2 linked regions of the Oryctolagus cuniculus genome follow. The protein of the gene in region 2 binds, or shares a complex with, the protein of the main gene of each other region. Links are inferred from orthologs where the notes say so. Each region holds a gene or a part of one and is shown on either strand. Other genes may lie near its edges.

Region 1 (3,651 bases), on a different chromosome or scaffold from region 2:
CACGTGTTACAGGGCGGGACTGGCAGGGAGAAGGCAGCCAGGCCCAGGACACACAGGGGTGTGTGGCCCAGGTGCTGGACCCGTGAGTGCTGTGGGTGACAGAGTGGTGGGCGCGCTACAGAGGAACACGGGGGGTTTTCTGATGGGATCAGGAAGGGAACCCTGAGGACAAGGCTGGCGGCCCGTGGGCCTGGAGGCCGAGCCAGAGGAGACGGCAGGCGATGGCCGTGCTCTGAGTGCTGCCTCTGCACCAGGTGTTGCGGAAGCCACCAGAAGTAGGCAGACGCTGGGGCCTCGCATTTGCTCAAAGACATTGCTCCTGGGGCCATGGTGCGGCGAGTGCGGTTCGGGCGGGCTGGTACGGAAGCGCCGTGGAAGCCTCAGCATGGGGTTGGGCGCGGTGGGGAGCGCAGTCGGGAGGTATCTGGAGTGGTACGGTGAGGCTCCGTCATCGCTGTGGTCAGGTGCAGGTGGAGGCAGGGCTGGTTTCTGTGGGCTCCTGGAGGGACCTCTGAGGCATCCTGGTGGAGGTGACGGGCTCGGTAGAGGGCTAAAGAGATGGCGTGGGTGCTCCGGCACACGGGTGAGACCCCTGGCCCGGGCAGCTACAGAAGGTGGCAGGGACGACTGGGGAGGACAGTGGGGGAGGAGCCTCTGAAGGGATGAATTGGCAGCACCGGGCACGGGCACGGCCGCTGCCCATGGGTAGCAGTGCAGCAGGGGGGGATGGGGACAGGCAGTTGCTGGTGCGGCAGCTTCTGGGCGAGTGCCGCAGGGCCTCTTCCTGTGTTTCTGTCGTCTCACTCTCGGCAGGTAAACCTGCCTGCCTGGCACGAGCCGCAGCAGGGCCTCACCCTGGTGGCCGCTCCAGACAGCTCCTCTTCACCGAGGAGTGGCCTGGACCAGCTGTGCTCTCGTGTTGTATGTGGCTGTGCATTCTGTCAGCTTTTCTTTCTTTTTTAAAGATCCATTTATTATTCATTTATTTATTTATCTATTGATTCAAAAGGCAGAGTGGCAGATTGAGAGGGATAAAACAGAGACAGATCTTCCATCTGCTGGTTCATTCCCCAAATGGCCCCAACAACCTGGGCTCAGCCAGGCCGAAGCCAGGAGCCAGGAACTCCAGCCTGGTCTCCCATATGGTGGCAGGGGCCTAAGCGCTTGGGCCATCTGCCGCTGCTTTCCCAGGCACATTGGCAGTGAAGCTGGATTGGAAGTGGAGCAGCCGGGACTCCTACTGGCGCCCATATGGGATGCCGGCGCTGCGGTGGCGGCTTTATCTGCTGCACCTCAATGCTGGCCTCTCTGTTGCTGATTCTCCTGACTTAGCTCAGAGCTGCTGTAAGCTGGCGCCTTCTTGGTCCAAGCCCATGGAGAGAGGGCCCCATGTGTACGTGCACTCCTAGCCTGCAATGCTCCCTCCCAGGTGTGGCAGCTGATGCAGCCTCTGTGTAGGTGTGAACCCAGGGTCGGACCACTGGGCGGGGAACCAGTTTGCAGTCACTGACAACCGTTTTCATCGCGTATATTTTCTTTTTTAAAAGACTTATTTATTTGAAAGGCAGAGTTACAGAGAGGCAGTAAGAGAGACAGACAGACAGGTCTTCCATCCACTGGTTCACTCCCCTGCCACATGGCCATGACCGCTGGAGCTGGGCCAATCTGAAGCCAGGAGCCAGGAGCTCCTTCCAGGTCTCCCACGTGGGTGCAGGGGCCCAAGGACCTGGGCCATCTTCTGATGCCTTCCCAGGCCATAGCAGAGAGCTGGATCGGAAGTGGAGCAGCTGGGACTTGAACCGGCGCTCATGTGGGATGCCAGCTCTGGATGTGGTGGCTTTACCCAGTATGCCACAGCACTGGCCCCCATCACGTACATTTTCTTAGATTTCACGTGCTTTTTCCCCCCTTTGCTTCTTCATTTTTAGTTACTGCCAACCCTGTGAGAAGATTAGGTTTTCAGTAAATCTCTCTCTTGTGCTTTTGCCAGCAGTCAGATCTTCCGGTGGCAGGTGGCAGGTGAATAGTTACTCATTTGAAAGCTTTTCTGCACTACTGCCTGCTCAGTGAAGCAGAGGGTGGGCCCGGTATCTTACAGCTGACCTCAGGATGTGTTCGTGTCTTTTAAAAGCACTTTGGTGAGAGCGTGCCGCTCAGTTCTGATAGGCACCTGTCACCTGTCCCGGACAGCGGACACACGCTCTATTAGCAAAGCTCATCCGGTTCCCAGGGGTGCCTCTGCCTACCAGAGAGGTTGGCAAGGAAATGGCTCGGTCTGTGGTGCCTACCAGATGGAGGCTGGAGCCAAGGCTGGCCTGTATCTGGCACAGACCTGTCCCAGGGCTCCCACCTTGCACCACATGCTGTCCTAGGCCAGAGGGTACAGTAGAGGAAGCAAGGGGGACAGGGACAGTAAATAGGCAAACGGACAGAGCAGTTCTGTGTGTGGAGGCACCTTGGGGACAATGCTAAGTGCTTTTATTTATTTCAAATTTGTGTTAAGGATCTATTTGTTTATTTGAAAGGGAGAGACAGATTTCCCATCTGCTGGTTCACTCCTCCAGTGGCTACATTAGCTGGGGCTGGGTCAGACTGAAGCCAGGAGCCCAGAACTGTCTTCCACCCCCTTCACAGGCGCATCAGCAGGAAGCTGGACTGGAAGCCGAGCAGCTGAGACTCGAACCAGCAACCTGATGTGGGATGCTGGCCTTGCACGCAAGCAACTTAACCCGCTTTGCCACAACACCAGCCCCTGCCTGTTTTTAAAATTTTTGCTGATTTTTGTTTATTTGAAAGGCAGAGAGAGAGAACCCACCTGCAGGCCCACACCCAAATGTGTAGAACGCAATCCCTGTCTTCCATGTGGGCAGCAGGGACCCGAGCCCTGAAGCCGTCACCTGCTGTCTCCTTAGCAGGAAGTAAATCAGAAGCGGAGCCAGGACTGCGCTCTAGCCAGGCACTCGGATCTGGGACAAGGGCTCGCTGTGCCGTGTCCTGACGCTGCGCCGGATGCCTGCTCCGGGTGTCCATACAGCCATCAGGGGTTCTTGTCTCCCTGCAGGTCGTGGCCGCCCTCCCACAGAGCCTCTCCCCGACGGCTGGATCATGACGTTCCACAACTCCGGAGTCCCTGTGTACCTGCACAGAGAGTCTCGGGTGGTCACCTGGTCCAGGCCGTACTTCCTGGGAACGGGAAGCATACGGGTAGGGGAGACATGAGTCGCACTCCCAGGCTTGTGCACCATGCGCCTGCTGCTCTGTGGTGCCACGCAGAGGCTAACAAGAGGCCTTGCGTTTCTGGATTGACGGGGTCGTCCTTACACTTCCTGTTGCCATCTCGCTGTCCGCAGAAACACGACCCTCCTCTGAGTAGCATCCCCTGTCTGCACTACAAGAAAATGAAGGACAATGAGGAACGGGAGCAGAGCAGCGACATCAGCCCCAGCGGGGAGGGGTCCCCCGCCAAGCCCCTGAGCCGATCCGCGGAGCTGGAGTTCCCCCTGGAGGAGCCCGACGCCATGGGCACCGACTCGGGGCCCCCAGATGAGAAGGACCCCCTGGGGGCCGAAGCGGCCCCCGGGGCCCTGGGGCAGGTGAAGGCCAAAGTTGAAGTGTGCAAAGATGAATCGGTGGGTAAGTTCCCGAGAGTGG
Region 2 (3,505 bases):
AATAACTGAAAAAAAAAATCCCTGTAGATACACACCTATATATTGTACTCCCGCACTGTAAGAGTGGATGGTGGGATGATTTTTAAATATTTATACATCTATGTAATATACATATACATTTACATTTATATATATATGTGTGTGTGTGTGTGTGTGTGTGTGTGTATATATATATATATATATATATATAGTATGACTTTACCTCTTAGGAAATAGGCTGTAAGGATATATCCTGAAAGATTATCAGTAGTTAGAGCTGAGAATGAGTTTCTTTTAAATGCAAAATGAATTTTATAGTGAAATTTCCTGAGGCAATAGGGTCCATTTTATAGAAACTTGCTGCATTATTTTTATTTTTATTATTTTTTTAATTTTTTTAGAAAAAGTACTTGCAGTGTTTGAAACTTATGATTTACACAACATGTGAGGTATCAATGTATTTAGGAGGTAATTTTATTTCAGAAGTAATATAGATGCCATGTTTCTCTTTTGTTTAATAATCACTGACTCTCAGGCATACAAGAGTTTTCCTGATTGACTGTCTTTCAGATATGTTTTCTACTACCGTGTTCCTGGCCCTTCAGCCTGGGATGAGGAAGGGACACTCCATTAGAAGGGGAAGGGGGAAATAATGTAGGAGCATGCTATATGTACAGATCCACTTTCATTATACCTCACCTTTAAAACAAACTTGTTTTCCCCAAACATGTCATGTCTCCACCCATCTCTGGTTCTTCTTGTGTTTGAATAGCCCTTTATCCGATAAATAGTATCATTTTTCTCTTTGTGCTCGAAGGCAGTGTGTGTAGTTCTTACCCATGTATGCATCCCTTTTTAAAAATATATTTTTATTTATTTTGAGGGGTAGAGTTACAGAGAGAGGAAGAGACAGAGAGAAAGGTCTTCCATCCCCAGATGGCCACAATGGCTGGAGCTGAGCCCATCTGTAGCCAGGAGCCAGGAGTTTCTTCAGTTTTCCCATGCAGGTGCAGGGGCCCAAGCAGTTGGGCCATCTTCTGCTGCTTTCCCAGGTCATAGCAGAGAGCTGGATAGGAAGAGGAGCAGCCAGGACACAAACCGGCACCCATATGGGATGCTGTCTGTTTAAGTAGGTGTTTGTTGACCAGGTATACAGAAATGGTTATTTCTAGTTCCATACTTGATTTCTTTCTTCACTGCTACATGAAAGTTACACAGCAAATGACAATGAAATTGTGAAATTTCTCAGTCTTAGTGAAGACTTCCATTGTGTCAACAGTGTTGCGCGGGGTCAATCTCAAACTAAATATAACTTAACCTATGTCATGGAGTGCAATGTTTCCTTTAATTGAATCAAATTCTCTACTCGAGTTGCTTGTGCAGTATAGCTTTCAGCCTTTTAGGGCAGACTTTACAAATAGGGTGAATTATCAAACAATAAATTATAATGTGGCCTCCTTTTGTCTATCTGATCTTTTTTTTTTTCTTTTCTTTTTTTTTTTTTTTTTTTTGCTTTTGTCAGAAACTTTCTTGGTAAATCAGAAACTTGGTAAATAATGGTGTGATAATACCATTATTTGTTTGGGTTTTTTATTTGAGCCCTTCAAAGATGTGCAACTGTATTTTATGGCATCCTTTCATTTTTTCTTGAAACTCACTTGTTGCTAGGAGAAACATGTTAATGCACCTGGTTGGAAACATTCCAACATCATACATCTATGATTTAGTGCCTTTTCTCTCTCAGGTTCACCTTAGATATTGAAATCTAGAATTGGCCAGTCCAGACTACCAGTGGGTTCTGAATCACAAAAGAACTATGGAATAAAATGAGGCTTTTTTTTTTCTCTTGTCTTACAAAATTCAACTGTATACCTGTCACAGAAGTTGGTGTTTGCATGTGTAGATATTTGGTTTGCATCATTCTTTGCACTAGTGGCTACCCTTTAATAAGTGTAAAATATATCTCCTTGTGCCAGATAACTTTCCCCAGATGGCCCATCAGAAGCGGTTCATTGAACGGAAATACAGACAAGAGTTAAAAGAAATGAGGTGGGAAAGAGAGCATCAAGAGCGGGAGCCAGATGAGACTGAAGACATAAAGAAATAAAGGAGGGCACGGAACTGGTGGTGTGTTTACTTGCCTAATAACTGTGACTGCTGCCCATTGAGACCTAGCCTAGTTTTCCTGCAGACAATGAATGAAGTGTGCCCATTGAAATAAAACCCAGTGTCAAATCACCATTGTTGTTTTACTGGTCTAATATTCTGTTGTTAGCTGGATGGTCTTTGTTACAAAGTGTTTTATTTCTCTTCTGTTTAATGGAAAACTTGACTTCGGTGGGTATGCGTTTTTCCCTTTTATTTTGCTTTCGAACAATAAAATTCAAGAAAGCATATTGTCCTTGGAATAGATCCTGTATTTTCTCACTGTCTCAGATTGTGAGCCCAGACTTTCAGCTGAGAAGTGAAAAATTCACTTTGTCAGGTATTTTGACTCCCTTCTAGAAATCTTTGGATTATTTGCTAGATTTTCAGCTTTCATCTGGATGTTTGTCAAGTTCTCAGCTGCATATATTGAATTTACCACTTTCCAAGCAGTGAGTCCTTTGTGGAAGGAATCTGTTTAAGGTTTAAGTGGCTAATAGGCGCGGGGGAGGACTGATGTTTGAGTCACACATGTTCTTTGAATCACTGGAATGGGGAAGCAGCCATGATTCTGAGTCAGACCCCCCTTTAAACCTGGAGTCAGCAGGCCCTCTATGAAGTTTAGACTGCAGGGATGTCTCAGAACCTCATGAAATGCTATTCAATTGTATGTGCCTGGTGGGGACTTGGGGAGGGGGGAGCAAGTAGAGGAGGGGTCGGCACTTTGATCAGCTTTTCTAAGTGACCCCTGCAGAAAAGGGCTAACATTACATCAAAGATGTAACATTTAAAGTGAAACATTATTTTAAATTAAACATCATTGTTATTAATAAAGGCAAAACTTTGTAACACAACTGTGTTTTCATCCATTATTTCTGCAAGCACGACATGGGCCTACTGTGTATCAGGCACCATTCTAGGCTCTGGGACTCCTTGGTGGACATAAGAGACAAAACACAGTGCCCTCGGGAGCTTGTGTGCTGCAGCAATACCCTCAGGGGAACCAACGCGGGGAGCTGGGTGGGTGCAGTATGCTCTGAACCAGAATGAGTCATTCAGGTATACGGGAGACTGTTGCCTGCAGAGCTGTGCATTGTAGAAGATTCGGACAGTGTTATTACTTTTGTTAACAGGAAAAAGAAACAAATGACACCTTTACCATCGAGGGATAGGAAGAACACATAACCAGAAAAATAAATCACTCATGATTGCATCACCCAGAGGACTTGTCTACCCTGTCAGGCCTTCTGTGCACATACGTATGTCTGCACAGGCACTCAAGTGTGTTTAACATGTGGTTCCCACTTTCATGGACAGTGCTGCCACATAGATCCTGGAGGACGGACACATTTGAGAGAAGACCTCTCCATTGTTTCTTTTT

Evidence for each region.
Region 1: the proteins of DROSHA (region 2) and DGCR8 are in contact, whole or in part, in a crystal structure (PDB 5B16), measured with the Homo sapiens proteins. The link is inferred for Oryctolagus cuniculus from reciprocal best matches to the Homo sapiens genes DROSHA and DGCR8. Residues at the interface, in NP_001369437.1 of Homo sapiens: Leu984, Leu987, Phe988, Thr998, Tyr999, Thr1001, Ala1002, Ile1003, Gln1005, His1008, Phe1069, Asp1073, Leu1074, Glu1076, Val1077, Trp1078, Asn1080, Pro1082; in NP_073557.3 of Homo sapiens: Asn728, Ile731, Leu732, Lys734, Leu735, Gln736, Glu738, Met739, Lys740, Leu742, Ala743, Arg746, Arg750.

What each region holds. Positions count from the first base shown.
Region 1 is NC_091452.1:27,757,854-27,761,504, forward strand, and holds part of DGCR8 (microprocessor complex subunit DGCR8), read left to right. Parts: intron 1-3,061; coding exon 3,062-3,204; intron 3,205-3,350; coding exon 3,351-3,633; intron 3,634-3,651.
Region 2 is NC_091445.1:57,616,494-57,619,998, reverse strand, and holds the end of DROSHA (ribonuclease 3), read left to right. Parts: intron 1-1,955; coding exon 1,956-2,086; 3' UTR 2,087-2,978; downstream 2,979-3,505. UniProt on the Homo sapiens protein: Ribonuclease III double-stranded (ds) RNA-specific endoribonuclease that is involved in the initial step of microRNA (miRNA) biogenesis.